Linked DNA regions of Saccharomyces cerevisiae S288C. The gene in region 1 interacts genetically with each later gene. Each region holds a gene or a part of one and is shown in the gene's direction. Other genes may lie near its edges.

The links. A genetic interaction does not mean that the proteins touch.
Region 2: mutations in RCE1 (region 1) and TUS1 are lethal when combined (synthetic lethality), as found in Saccharomyces cerevisiae (2 studies listed by BioGRID, with this or other methods).
Region 3: mutations in RCE1 (region 1) and AUR1 together harm fitness more than expected from each alone (negative genetic interaction), as found in Saccharomyces cerevisiae (2 studies listed by BioGRID).

What each region holds. Positions count from the first base shown.
Region 1 is NC_001145.3:812,387-817,258, reverse strand, and holds RCE1 (CAAX prenyl protease), read left to right. Parts: upstream 1-1,947; coding exon 1,948-2,895; downstream 2,896-4,872. Other genes in the region: ubiquitin-ubiquitin ligase BUL1, read left to right, coding at 1-1,608; ZDS1 (Zds1p), read left to right, coding at 3,279-4,872. UniProt on the Saccharomyces cerevisiae protein: Protease involved in the processing of a variety of prenylated proteins containing the C-terminal CAAX motif, where C is a cysteine modified with an isoprenoid lipid, A is an aliphatic amino acid and X is any C-terminal amino acid.
Region 2 is NC_001144.5:981,196-987,670, forward strand, and holds TUS1 (Rho family guanine nucleotide exchange factor TUS1), read left to right. Parts: upstream 1-1,698; coding exon 1,699-5,622; downstream 5,623-6,475. Other genes in the region: TDA5 (Tda5p), read left to right, coding at 5,867-5,946, 6,018-6,475. UniProt on the Saccharomyces cerevisiae protein: Guanine nucleotide-exchange factor (GEF) for RHO1 that stimulates the exchange of RHO1 GDP-bound form into GTP-bound form. Required for signaling of cell wall defects to RHO1.
Region 3 is NC_001143.9:433,728-437,638, forward strand, and holds AUR1 (inositol phosphorylceramide synthase), read left to right. Parts: upstream 1-1,852; coding exon 1,853-3,058; downstream 3,059-3,911. Other genes in the region: BYE1 (Bye1p), read right to left, coding at 1-1,150; mitochondrial 37S ribosomal protein bS6m MRP17, read right to left, coding at 3,370-3,765. UniProt on the Saccharomyces cerevisiae protein: Catalytic component of the inositol phosphorylceramide synthase which catalyzes the addition of a phosphorylinositol group onto ceramide to form inositol phosphorylceramide, an essential step in sphingolipid biosynthesis.

The sequences.
Region 1 (4,872 bases):
TTAACTAACGATATGTCTGATGACAACCTTTCGATCAATTACACTATTGATGCAAGGATTGTCGGTAAAGATCAAAAGGCCTCTAAACTGTATATTATGAAGGAAAGAGAATATAATCTAAGAGTAATCCCTTTTGGTTTTGACGCCAATGTCGTCGGAGAAAGAACCACTATGAGTCAGCTGAATGATATCACCAAACTAGTGCAGGAAAGGTTGGATGCTCTTAGAAAAATCTTTCAGAGATTAGAGAAAAAAGAACCCATAACGAACCGCGACATTCACGGTGCAGACTTGAGTGGTACCATTGATGATTCTATTGAATCAGACTCCCAAGAAATTTTGCAGAGGAAATTGGACCAACTGCACATTAAGAACAGAAATAACTATTTAGTCAACTATAACGATTTGAAGTTGGGCCACGATTTGGACAATGGCCGCAGTGGAAATAGTGGTCATAATACCGATACTTCCAGAGCTTGGGGTCCCTTTGTTGAAAGTGAACTAAAATATAAACTGAAAAACAAATCCAATTCCTCCTCATTTCTGAACTTCTCTCATTTTTTAAACAGCAGTTCCAGCTCAATGTCCTCTTCCTCAAATGCGGGAAAGAATAATCATGATTTAACGGGAAATAAAGAAAGGACAGGGCTAATACTAGTAAAGGCGAAAATTCCAAAACAGGGCCTACCATATTGGGCTCCCTCATTATTGAGAAAGACCAATGTTTTTGAATCTAAGAGTAAACACGACCAAGAAAATTGGGTGAGATTGTCTGAGTTGATTCCGGAAGACGTAAAAAAACCATTGGAAAAACTTGATTTACAATTGACTTGCATAGAATCCGATAATAGCTTACCTCATGATCCGCCAGAAATTCAATCGATTACCACAGAACTGATATGTATAACTGCTAAATCTGATAATTCTATCCCAATAAAACTCAATTCTGAACTGTTGATGAACAAAGAGAAGCTGACAAGCATCAAAGCTTTGTACGATGATTTCCATTCAAAAATTTGTGAATATGAAACCAAGTTCAACAAGAATTTTCTTGAATTAAATGAGTTATATAATATGAATAGGGGAGACCGTAGGCCAAAGGAACTGAAATTTACAGATTTTATTACTTCACAGCTGTTTAACGATATCGAAAGCATTTGCAACTTGAAAGTTAGTGTTCACAACTTATCCAACATTTTTAAAAAACAGGTCAGTACCCTAAAACAACACTCAAAGCACGCATTATCTGAGGATTCAATATCGCACACAGGTAACGGTAGTTCATCGTCGCCCAGTTCAGCGTCATTAACGCCAGTAACTTCTTCATCCAAGAGTAGTTTATTTTTACCTAGCGGTAGCTCGTCTACTTCCCTGAAATTTACAGACCAGATTGTTCATAAATGGGTTAGGATTGCTCCTTTACAGTACAAACGAGACATTAATGTGAACTTGGAATTTAATAAGGACATTAAGGAAACTTTAATTCCAAGTTTTGAAAGCTGCCTATGTTGTAGGTTTTATTGCGTTCGAGTAATGATTAAATTTGAAAACCATCTTGGCGTAGCGAAGATTGATATCCCTATTTCTGTTAGGCAAGTGACAAAATAAAAAAACATTAGAAAAAATTCTCGTTACTTTTCTTATAGATATAGATATATGTATGGTTTGCTTATAGATGAAGGTATTTATCGCGTCCTTTGTATTCCCTATTATTAATAAAATTCTTTTAAAATGCATTTTCTGGTGCTCTTTTGTTGCTTCTGTATTTTTTTTTTTTTGGACCACTGGATGGAAAACCTTTGATGATTTTATTACCTTTATTTTAAGTTACTAAAATATCGAGATTTCAGGAACAAAACATAGAATTTTCTTTGTCAAGAAAAATAAAACGAAATAAATTGATGCTTTGACTACTGACTGTCTGTCATAGAGAGAACCAGAACAGCAATGCTACAATTCTCAACATTTCTAGTGCTCCTATACATCTCCATATCCTATGTGCTACCGCTATATGCAACTTCACAACCAGAAGGGTCTAAACGAGATAATCCTCGAACGATTAAATCTCGCATGCAAAAACTTACAATTATGCTAATTTCCAACCTTTTTTTGGTGCCTTTTTTACAATCTCAATTATCTAGTACCACTTCACATATAAGTTTCAAGGACGCATTTTTAGGCTTAGGTATTATCCCAGGTTATTACGCTGCATTGCCAAACCCTTGGCAATTCAGCCAGTTCGTGAAAGACTTAACGAAATGTGTTGCGATGTTATTGACCTTATATTGTGGACCCGTTTTAGATTTTGTATTATATCATTTATTAAATCCAAAGAGCTCTATACTTGAAGATTTTTACCATGAATTCCTGAATATTTGGAGTTTCAGGAATTTTATATTTGCACCAATAACTGAGGAAATATTTTACACGTCAATGCTTTTGACTACGTACTTAAACCTAATACCGCATTCGCAACTAAGCTATCAACAGTTATTTTGGCAACCATCGCTTTTTTTTGGACTTGCGCACGCACACCATGCTTATGAGCAATTACAGGAAGGCTCCATGACAACTGTTTCCATTCTGCTGACAACATGCTTCCAAATTTTATACACAACACTTTTTGGAGGGTTAACCAAGTTTGTATTCGTAAGAACAGGCGGGAACCTATGGTGCTGCATAATCCTGCATGCCCTTTGCAATATCATGGGGTTTCCTGGTCCTTCAAGATTGAATTTACATTTCACAGTAGTAGACAAGAAAGCTGGACGCATTTCCAAATTGGTCTCAATCTGGAATAAGTGCTACTTCGCACTGCTGGTCCTTGGATTAATATCCCTGAAGGATACCTTACAAACTCTGGTAGGAACTCCTGGTTATAGAATAACCCTTTAGCCTTTTTTACGTACTTGTATACCGTTTAAAATTTCCTATGTACTATAACCTTTTTTCACTACTATTATGGAATTCTATCGAGCGACCGGGCTTTTGTTACGGAAGAGTGAAAAAATCGAGTTTTGGTGTTTTGGTGAAAGAATTTGGAGGACTATAAAGTACCTATACTTTGTATTACGGACTCAATAACAAGTCGTTCGTGTCAGTGGTATTGAAGTTGTCAGATCTAAGAGTAGAGAGAAGGTGGCATCTAATAGGTTTCGACGTTTTTCTTTTTTTAAGGTTTTTATTTGGTCTCCTAGAATTTAAGGTCTTAGTTAGTTTTGGTTTGTTTTGTGGGTTACATATTTTCAATTCAAAGGAGAATTTAGCTGTCTTTTATAATGTCCAATAGAGATAACGAGAGCATGCTGCGTACTACATCAAGCGATAAGGCGATCGCTAGTCAAAGGGATAAACGGAAGTCTGAAGTTTTGATTGCTGCACAGTCCCTTGACAATGAAATCCGCAGCGTAAAAAACCTAAAAAGATTGTCGATTGGGTCAATGGATTTACTTATTGATCCAGAATTAGATATAAAATTCGGTGGGGAATCTAGTGGGAGACGATCATGGTCTGGCACGACATCCAGTTCTGCGTCAATGCCAAGTGACACAACCACCGTTAATAACACACGATATAGCGATCCAACTCCGCTAGAGAACTTGCATGGGAGGGGTAACTCAGGGATAGAATCCTCCAATAAGACTAAACAAGGTAACTACTTAGGTATAAAAAAAGGTGTTCACTCTCCATCCAGGAAATTAAATGCTAACGTATTAAAGAAAAACTTATTATGGGTTCCCGCCAATCAACACCCTAACGTTAAGCCTGATAATTTCCTAGAGCTTGTACAAGATACTTTACAAAATATACAACTAAGCGACAATGGTGAAGATAATGATGGGAATAGCAATGAAAATAACGATATTGAGGATAATGGGGAGGATAAAGAATCACAATCATATGAAAATAAGGAGAACAACACTATCAACTTGAACAGGGGGCTGTCAAGGCATGGAAACGCGTCACTAATACGAAGGCCTTCAACATTGCGGAGGTCATATACAGAGTTTGATGATAACGAAGATGACGATAATAAGGGAGACAGTGCCTCTGAAACAGTAAATAAAGTCGAAGAAAGAATCTCCAAAATAAAAGAGAGACCAGTGTCGTTAAGAGATATAACTGAAGAACTGACAAAGATCTCAAATAGTGCAGGACTAACCGACAATGATGCCATTACATTAGCCAGAACTCTTAGTATGGCTGGTTCATATTCAGATAAAAAAGATCAACCACAACCGGAAGGGCATTATGATGAAGGAGATATTGGTTTTTCAACTTCACAAGCGAATACTTTGGATGATGGTGAATTTGCCTCCAATATGCCCATCAATAATACCATGACATGGCCTGAACGATCGTCACTGAGAAGGAGTAGATTCAACACTTATCGAATCAGGTCACAAGAGCAAGAAAAAGAAGTAGAACAAAGTGTGGATGAAATGAAAAACGACGACGAAGAACGTCTAAAATTGACCAAGAATACAATAAAGGTCGAAATAGATCCGCACAAATCCCCTTTTAGACAGCAAGATGAGGATTCTGAGAATATGAGTTCGCCTGGGTCAATTGGTGATTTTCAAGACATTTATAATCATTACAGACAGTCTAGTGGCGAGTGGGAACAAGAAATGGGAATAGAGAAAGAAGCCGAAGAGGTACCCGTCAAGGTTCGAAATGACACAGTAGAACAAGACTTAGAGTTAAGAGAGGGAACAACAGACATGGTAAAGCCAAGCGCAACGGATGACAACAAAGAAACGAAGCGACATCGTCGAAGAAACGGATGGACATGGTTGAACAATAAAATGAGCAGAGAAGACGATAACGAAGAAAACCAAGGGGACGATGAAAATGAAGAAAACGTGGATT
Region 2 (6,475 bases), on another chromosome or scaffold:
GAGAGACATGATGATGGTTCTCTGGAACAGCTGATGTCCCAGGTGTTGTCTCTTCTTGAGAATTAACCTTAGTGGAATCTCTATCAAATTCCGGTAAATTGGAAGCTGAAACGGCTAACGGATCTTGATTTGATGGGACTTCCTTAGAAGTAACCGAAGCATAGGCGCTACCATGTAGAGAATGTGGATTTTGATGTAATTGTTGGGATTCCATTGTGATTAAGGCTATAATATTAGGTATGTAGATATACTAGAAGTTCTCCTCAAGGATTTAGGAATCCATAAAAGGGAATCTGCAATTCTACACAATTCTATAAATATTATTATCATCGTTTTATATGTTAATATTCATTGATCCTATTACATTATCAATCCTTGCGTTTCAGCTTCCACTAATTTAGATGACTATTTCTCATCATTTGCGTCATCTTCTAACACCGTATATGATAATATACTAGTAACGTAAATACTAGTTAGTAGATGATAGTTGATTTTTATTCCAACAGGTTCACACGAAGATTGAAAGTGTGGCCACGCTAATTTAGTTTATTAGGGAAATGCTCCTGGTCAGTTCTAATTCACCCAACGTAGCGCGGAATATTTTAAAGTTAATATAGTATTTCGATATGACAAGCACCTCTAAACAAAAGGTTATTTTCGCTTTTGTTCATTGAGCGTGTACTTCAAGCCTGATCCTGCTTTTTCTTCTGATTTGATCTGATTCGATTAAGCAAGCGGTACTACCCTAAAACCGCCATCTGTTGTAATATAGTAACGTCGCAATAAACCTGTCATATAATTAGCAGCTAATCCTTATATTCCATCTCCTCAATTTGTGATATTTATCGTATATAATTCCCATTTCAGACCGTCATTTAGTAGTAGGCATCTAACTATGGAACGGCTTTACCCGATCTTGGTATGTATGCCATAATGTACTACCGCTATCGATTTACCTTAACCCTAACGAGTGTCTCTAGCCAGTATTTTAAACTTCCATATCACAACTAATGTTGAAGATTGTATAATAAAAACATCAAGCTATTTAATAGATGCGATTAATCTCCTAATCGAAAACAGTTTGTTCGGTGTCCAAATACTGTTTTAGTGGACTATGATAAACGTTATAACAGCTATTTTGACTAAAACAACCGTAAATTTACACAGATAGGTGTTCACAGTAATTTTTTGGGGAGTTAGGTCGAAATCTTTTCCAAAACCAGTCATGCAAAGGAAATGCGTCAACTTTTGGGGACTTTTCCCCTACTCAAACACAGTTAGTCAACATTTAAAGGTTGTGTCTTTACTTAAGAGAAAATTAACTGAGCTTCGGTCATACATACGTAATTTCGCTGCTTCCAGTCGAGCAGTTGGTGCGCTATAATCATTTGATGTTTTTAGCTTACGGCTTCTTAAGATTTTCTATTGTTCATACTGACTCGTCGCATAGGCCGCAATATAAATCATTTAGAGAAAACGTTAACACATCGTTTAGGTAAACAACCCCTAGAGAGGATGATCAGTACGCAATATAACTGTTCAAAATCCATTTCTTGCATCAATATTTTATTCAACTATTATTTCTGGAGGTTTTAGTGGTTCTGTATACCCCCTCCAGCCACTGTTATGAACAATTAATTGATACTACTTCGAATATAAACATTAAAACAAAAAACTTATTGAGTGCAGCAAGTTAACATGTATCGATATAATAGAAGTTCCCCTTTTGAACGAACACCAGAAAAACGAGTAAGCCGTCAAGAAAGCCAACGAAAGAGCATCGAATTGCCCAAACTGCCACCATTGAATACGAGGAACTCCTTTTTGGATGATTCTGATAACGGAACAGATAATATCTCAATTGGCTGGACACCAATCAGTGACACCCAGCAATTCCAAAGCCCGGTCCCTCAGGCTTTTACCTTTACATCAAAACATAGTGCAAGGGGAAACGGTACTAGCTCTTCAGAATCCACACCCAAATCGACAAAGTACGTCAAAGAAAGACGACCACCACCACCGCCACCCCTTTTGTATTCCACTGAATCAATACGGATAGACTCACCCATGGTATCTCCCAGTTCTCAGTCCCGGGAAAGATCACCTAATAAACTATCCTTTATAGGAAACTCAGAGGAACGACATCACATGGAATACATATCTAACCATTCCAGGATCTTAAAATCACCATTTGCGAACGGATTTAGTCCAAATTCCCCTAAATCTCCAAGAGATAGTAGCAAACAGCAGGCTCACTTCTCTGATGAATCAGATCTACGGTGTCATGAAAGAGAAAAAGCTTTACCCCCAATTCCTTTCACTACTACTCTTCTGCTATCTCCTTTTGATGATGAAGACTCAGAATTTTTTACGAAACCACCACCGCCTCTATCAACATCTAGAAACGTAAGTGGGAATAGCCGAGTATCAGAAGCCCTAGAAAGTGTTTATTCTGACTCAGATTATACTTTTAATAACTCAAATGCCAGGCAAAGTAGTTTTAACTCTTTACTAGGAGCCAAGCCATTAGAATTAGCACCAAGCATTACTGCACCGACACAACCATTTTCAATTCAATCTATCGATGAGCACAAGCTTTATCAATGTGATAATGTTTACAAACTTTCTGCTATTTATGAGTGGATTTTGAAAGTTTATTTTGAATGGTTTAATGAATGTGTCTTCACGAAAATCGATCTTTTCCAAATTGTTCAATTACTTTTAGAGTTTCAAATGCCTACAAATTTCGATCAAGATACGATAGACTCAAATGTGGATAATATTATGGCTTCGTTTATTTCCCAGAAAGCAGTAAGATTCGATATCATTAACGATGAAGAGGTAGCCGTAGTTGTGGGAGGGCTGGATATTACTGGTGTTTTCACCGAACTACTACCGTGCTATTCATTCATCGATAATACTTATGGATCTACAAACTCCCTGATTTGTTATTCCAACGTTTGCACACATGGCCAAAGCTCTGGCTTCAGAAAAGAAATAAAACTTTCCGAAATCATAAATAAATCAGTTGGACTTTGGACAGAATACTGGCACTTGACTCCAGATGATTTAGCAGAAATTAATCCCCGTGAAGTACAAAGACAAAGCTTTATATTTGACTTAATTATTTTAGAAGAAAGATCCTTAAACATGGCTACTGCCGCGGTAGAAATCTATGGGAAACGGTTTGACAAATCCCTACTTCCAGATGAGCCTGAGTTCAAGGCATTGGCATTTGATATCTTCGAACCTCTAATACAATTACATACCGAATTTCTTTTGACGCCAATATTTTGGAAATTAAAAACGAGAGGTAAGTTTATTGATGGCGTTGGAAAAATCTATTCAAAATGGTGTGGTGAAGCCAAGAATATATATTTGAATTACGCGAAAGCTATGGCAACGGTACACGAAATCATAATGTGGGAGAAGAAAAACAAGACGAAATTTGTAACATGGCTTAAGGAGATTGATAACTCGGTTGAAATTACAAGATCGAAGATGTATCATGATGTTATATTCTTTGGGGGGTTTTTCAAATCTTTACAAAACATGCCCGTAACTCTGCGCTCAATTTTGAAGAACACGGATCCTTCCATGGAGGATTATGAATACCTGAAAATAGTAATTAAGGAAGTAGAAAAGTTGAACTTTGAAGTTAATCAGGTACATGGATTAGCAATTGACCATAGGAAACTAGTAAGGTTTTCGAAACAATTAGTATTAAGTACTAATAGTAGTAATGCAACAAGCTATGTGAACGTCGGTGGTAGTACTAACGCAAATGACGATGATGCAATTCAGGATAAACTAGCTCTTGGTTTAACTTATCCGGAAAGGAAGTTAGTACTATCTGGCACTGTTTATAAAAAGAGGGATTTATGGCTGGACCCAACCCCAGTGTATATCGCATTATTGGACAATTGCTTACTGATTACAGAGGAAATAAGTAAAGGAGAAACTCAAAAATATAAGCTTATTGAAAGACCTATCCCAATAGATTATTTAAGTCTCGAGAAAAGGAAAATTCCAGGAACAAGTAAACAGCCTCTGAGAAACTACTCTCAGAAAGAACATAAATCCCCAATGCATAATTTTTCGACACCGATTAACTCCATGAGACCTCTGCTTAAAAGTTCTGGAAATCACATGTCAACAGCGTATGGAGATAGAAAGACTAGTAATACTGAAATTTCTAACGCGAATCCAAACACAGACGAGTTCTCATTTAAGATCAGAAATACAGCCACAGGTGAATCGTTCAAATTTTTTACAGAAAGTGCAGAAGTACTCAACCAATGGATTGATGCTATCATGGAATCTTTTAAAAGAAATGCAGAAAATCATGATTTAAATGCCTTTGAATTTACAGTGTTGAGCTCTGAGTTCGCATACTTCGACAAGGATGCACCGGTGAATCTACCTGTAGCTCCGGAAGGATCAGAAATTGATGTAGCACTCAAAGCTTACGCTCAAAAAGCAAACAAAGATTCATGTTCATGGAGTAAGACAACACGGATTCTTTGTTGTGAAGATGTTAAATTCGAGGGCAGAATTTACCTATTTGTGGCTACAACAGACGGTATCTATGTGAAATATAGAGACGATTATGGTAGTGGTTTCGTTAAAATATTAGAATTAAACGACGTCAAAAGAATGGAAGCCAATGTTAAGTTGGGGCTCTTGTTTGTATTGGATAACAGAAAGTTGTGCTATTTTAATATCTCAACGGTAGTGAGCCGTTACCTAGCGCAAGGAAACACTCTAGATGAAAACTGCATTGTGGGAACAGTAATCAGAGATAAGGTGAGATTCTTCAAAATTGCTGATGATTTTGGTAACTCAAAACATTTATTTTTTGAAAGAAAGGGGAAGATAGTTATATTAACACCAGAATTTGATCAATTGACAAACCAAGTAAAATATTTCAAATTTTACAAAGAGTATAAGCTCCCAAGTTCAAGTAATAACATTCTGAATAACGAAATTGAGGATATTGCCATATTCAGGAAAAGTTTTGCTGTGTGTACAAAGAAAACAGTCATACTTTATCAAGATTCATTCGAGGATAACGGAATAGTCTTACCATCTTTTTTGAATGATAAAGATATGATGGCACACTTGAGGCATCCACATTTGAATAGCTTACCGTTCAAAAGTGCTACAGACTCCAAGAAACGCCCCTCCATAGAATCTCTCACTGAAGAAGCAAAAAAGGATATCGCCACTTGCAAAGCTATACCGGTCAATTTTTTTCAAATATCACAATCTAGTTTTTTTGCCTTGGTTTATGATGAAGCCGTAGTGAAAATAAACTGCTACGGTGAGATGTCTGATTGGAGAAAGGATATTCTCTTACTTGATTTTTGTTGTACCGGCGCGAGCTTCCATGGTAATCATTTGATTCTCGTTGGCGACAATTTGATACAGATTTACGACTTAAAAAATGTTGAGCAGAACCTAGGCGAATTGGTTCCCGTCCAGATCATAAAAGGAAAGAAGATAAAGCTGGCTAGTTCAGAAAGGAGAGAGAAAACAATTCTTGTGTTAAGTCATCCAAATATACTTAATAGACAATTATTAGTCGCGTGCAATCCTGTAGCAATGGCAGATCATCAATAATATAAGATATAGACACTTTTAATGGTAAATATCGTTGTAATAATATAAGCCAACAAGAATATAGTCCAGTAATTATGCTATTTGCAGTAACTCACATCATTATTCTCTCTGTTCATATAATCCTGAATAACAGGTTACCCTCGGAAGTGCATTTAGCCGTATAACAAGTAGCTCTTTAAAATCAGTAGAACAGATACATTAATATGTGATAATACGGCTGTGAGGAAAAGGTGAAGTTCTGGTGATGAATATAGACTGTTTGTGTCGTTGGGTAGTTCTGCCACTGCTGCGCTATCCACTTCTGGTAGCTCTTGTATTGAGATGGTATGTAAAGTAGAAAATAGGCATGAGGTTAGAAACAGCGTTTTTTATACTAACATGACGAACTAACCTAGGTCTCTAAGCGACTCGATAAGCATTTGTCTAACAATCTATACACTACTGATAAATGCATTCCTCATTGCTAATTCCTATATAAAGCGGTCGGGACAGGTCGCCTGGAAGAGCCTTCGTGAATTTAAGAATGGCATAGTTCTTATTACTGGAGGAAGTAAAGGACTTGGACGGGCCATAGTATCTCAACTCCTACAAGACTACAGCAACCTGACCATCTTGAATGTCGACATATGCCCATCATCAGTGAGGAATACTCGCGTGAAGGATCTCATCTGCGACCTGAGTGATGATGAAGAAGTTGCAGCACTACTGAATTTGTTGAAAAGAAAGTATAAAAATGAAATCCGATTGATTGTGAACAATGCTGGAGTAAGGGCCAACTTCACCGGATTCAACGGCATGGAACGGGATAATCTTGATAAGATTTTTAAGATAAACACATTTGCACCACTTCAGT
Region 3 (3,911 bases), on another chromosome or scaffold:
CGATCAGCTCATCACCCTTGTGGGTCTTAACGTACATGGGTTTGTCAGGTACCTCCACGATAAAATTTTCTAAGATAATCTTATCCCTTTTCTCTTTAAATTCTTGTAAGTCAGGATTTGCGAGTTCAGATGCGTTCATGTTCACCAGTTTATTTAAAGGCAATTTGCCCTCGACAACGTGTGCCTTCAGTTCCAAATTTTTTTTATCCTTTAAATTAGAGTATAACGACCTCACTTTCTCTGTGTATATCTTGTCCAAAGTACCAAACTCGACGTTAAGGCAAGCTTTGTAAAGTTCTTCTTCCAGATTGTGCGCAAACTCTTGCGATATCGATATAACGTCTTTCCCATCAGGAAGCTCATAAAGTTTTGCCTCAATTGTTTCGGGAACGATGAATTTGCTAAATAAGGTAGAGAACATTTTTTCTGCATTATACCTCAGTTTGTGTTCTTTTTCGCTTTCAAAATCTTTCCTAGTAGGCATTTCGTTTTCGGCAGTATCAGACTTGGCGGCATCAATGCTTTTATTCCTTTTTTTTGACCCATTGGATTTCTTCACCTGTTTGGATTTGATATGAATTCCTTTGGCACTATCGGGGCTCCTTTTTCGTTTCCTAGGGCTTTCCTCATCAAGAAAGACATCTGCATCATTGTCATCATGGTCATTTACGGGCTTGTAAACATCATCATGGTAATCTTCATCCTCTGAAACCTCTGCCTCCTTTGACGTTTCCAAATGTGCATACAATGATGGGTCGCACAATTCACAGTAGTACTTAGAATCTTCACTCATTAGCCCATCTATGGTGTCTTTACCATCAGTCATACATTTAATATGCTGCCAAGTGTCACAGCCATCGCACTGTACCATGTCGCCATGCGAATATTCTGCAGCATCGTAGTTTTCATTGTTCGCCCCACACAGACATCTAACATAGCCCTCATCCGCTTCGTCTACTTCGTCTGTTCTTACATTTTCAGTATCTTTCCTTGGCTCCTGAGAAGAATCAGACTTCTTATTCTTCTCTATGGCTGAATCAACTTTCTTTTTAGTTCTTTTTTTCTTTGGTGCTTCAGTCTCCTCCTGTAACAAATACTCAATATATTTATTCTGACCCTTATTAGATCTTGAAGAAGTACGGACAGACATAATAAATTTAAACTAAATAAAAGCTAAAAGTAAAAGAGAACCTAGGATAATCGATAGCTCCCTGTGTATAGAACAAGTCAAAATACTAAGATCTCGTCAACCTATCCTCTTTCATTGCAAGCCTTTTGGCCAAACTGCAGTCTGGGCATCCCTTTGCATGTCTTGTGAAATAGTATCCATCTCTCCCCAGCTCCCAGAAATGATATGAAAAGTTATTCGTGAAGAGTGATCCTAAAACTGAAAAAAGGAAAAAACAAAAATGAGCTAAAAAAACCACAACAAAAGAATATCAACTTCATTGCTTGGCGGGTCATCGCTTTTTTATTTCTTTCTGTCAAAGAATAATAAAGTGCCCATCAGTGTTCATATTTGTTACAAAGTGGTTTTCTGATTTGGTACTACTGCAGAGGCGTATTTTTTGCTTCAGTTACCATAGCGTAAGAACACTAGCGACTTTTGTTCGTGAACCAACAGAGTAGGATTTCTACTGCTACATCTCTTAGGTAGTTGGTTAGTCCGATCGCTCACTTTTGGTTGTTGTTAAGTACTTCATAAGTTTATCCTTTTCCTTTTTCACACTGAGCTACTTTGGGTATAGCTTTTGGCCCAAGGATCTTTGAATTTTCTCCAAAAGTACTTTATTTTATATCCTACAGGTTGCGGTTTTCATATTTTAAAAAGCTTTTAATCATTCCTTTGCGTATGGCAAACCCTTTTTCGAGATGGTTTCTATCAGAGAGACCTCCAAACTGCCATGTAGCCGATTTAGAAACAAGTTTAGATCCCCATCAAACGTTGTTGAAGGTGCAAAAATACAAACCCGCTTTAAGCGACTGGGTGCATTACATCTTCTTGGGATCCATCATGCTGTTTGTGTTCATTACTAATCCCGCACCTTGGATCTTCAAGATCCTTTTTTATTGTTTCTTGGGCACTTTATTCATCATTCCAGCTACGTCACAGTTTTTCTTCAATGCCTTGCCCATCCTAACATGGGTGGCGCTGTATTTCACTTCATCGTACTTTCCAGATGACCGCAGGCCTCCTATTACTGTCAAAGTGTTACCAGCGGTGGAAACAATTTTATACGGCGACAATTTAAGTGATATTCTTGCAACATCGACGAATTCCTTTTTGGACATTTTAGCATGGTTACCGTACGGACTATTTCATTTTGGGGCCCCATTTGTCGTTGCTGCCATCTTATTCGTATTTGGTCCACCAACTGTTTTGCAAGGTTATGCTTTTGCATTTGGTTATATGAACCTGTTTGGTGTTATCATGCAAAATGTCTTTCCAGCCGCTCCCCCATGGTATAAAATTCTCTATGGATTGCAATCAGCCAACTATGATATGCATGGCTCGCCTGGTGGATTAGCTAGAATTGATAAGCTACTCGGTATTAATATGTATACTACAGCTTTTTCAAATTCCTCCGTCATTTTCGGTGCTTTTCCTTCACTGCATTCCGGGTGTGCTACTATGGAAGCCCTGTTTTTCTGTTATTGTTTTCCAAAATTGAAGCCCTTGTTTATTGCTTATGTTTGCTGGTTATGGTGGTCAACTATGTATCTGACACACCATTATTTTGTAGACCTTATGGCAGGTTCTGTGCTGTCATACGTTATTTTCCAGTACACAAAGTACACACATTTACCAATTGTAGATACATCTCTTTTTTGCAGATGGTCATACACTTCAATTGAGAAATACGATATATCAAAGAGTGATCCATTGGCTGCAGATTCAAACGATATCGAAAGTGTCCCTTTGTCCAACTTGGAACTTGACTTTGATCTTAATATGACTGATGAACCCAGTGTAAGCCCTTCGTTATTTGATGGATCTACTTCTGTTTCTCGTTCGTCCGCCACGTCTATAACGTCACTAGGTGTAAAGAGGGCTTAATGAGTATTTTATCTGCAATTACGGATACGGTTGGTCTTATGTAGATACATATAAATATATATCTTTTTCTTTCTTTTTCTTAGTCAGGATTGTCGTTTAGCATAATATACATGTAGTTTATTTAATCACATACCACTGATTATCTTTAGAATTTTATAAATTTTTGAAATAAATGGGTGGCTTTTAATGGTGTCTATGTTAAGTGAGGCTTTTAGAATGCTCTTCCTGCTTTGTTTATTATATGTGTATGAAAGATATGTATGTATTTACATGTGTTTGTAGCGTCCCCAGTCAAAACCTGTGCGCTATACCTAAATGGATTGATAATCTTCATTCACTAATTCTAAAATAGACTTCTTCCCCAAAGAACGGTGTAACGATGAGGCTCTATCCAGCTGCTTATCTAAATCAACTTTAACGATGGATGATCTTATGACACGGGGATCTTTCTTTAAAGTTCTTAGAATTTCAGACTGTACCGCAGCTGATGAATCAAACAGCATTAAAAAGTGATATGCTCGAAAATGTTTTTCCTGGTCTTTCTTCATTATTTTAGGAAGATACCTTATGCCCATGGGTACAATGTCCCTCACCACACCTCTGTTTTGAATAATCAGTTTCCCGATTGTGGAAGACAATTCTTTTGCTTCCAACTTTGGCGCATTGGAGTTGGTTATGCGAACAAGTCCGATCAGCTCATAAAGCATCTTAGTGAAAAGGGTGGTTTTGCGTTATTCTTTCCTCTGTTGAAGCTTTTCTATTTTGTTTAAGCTGAACTAGTGGGAGTTTCCATTAAAAGGCTAAAGTCTTGTTGAAACTTTTCCGGGTTAGATGATAACTGCGAAAAGATAGA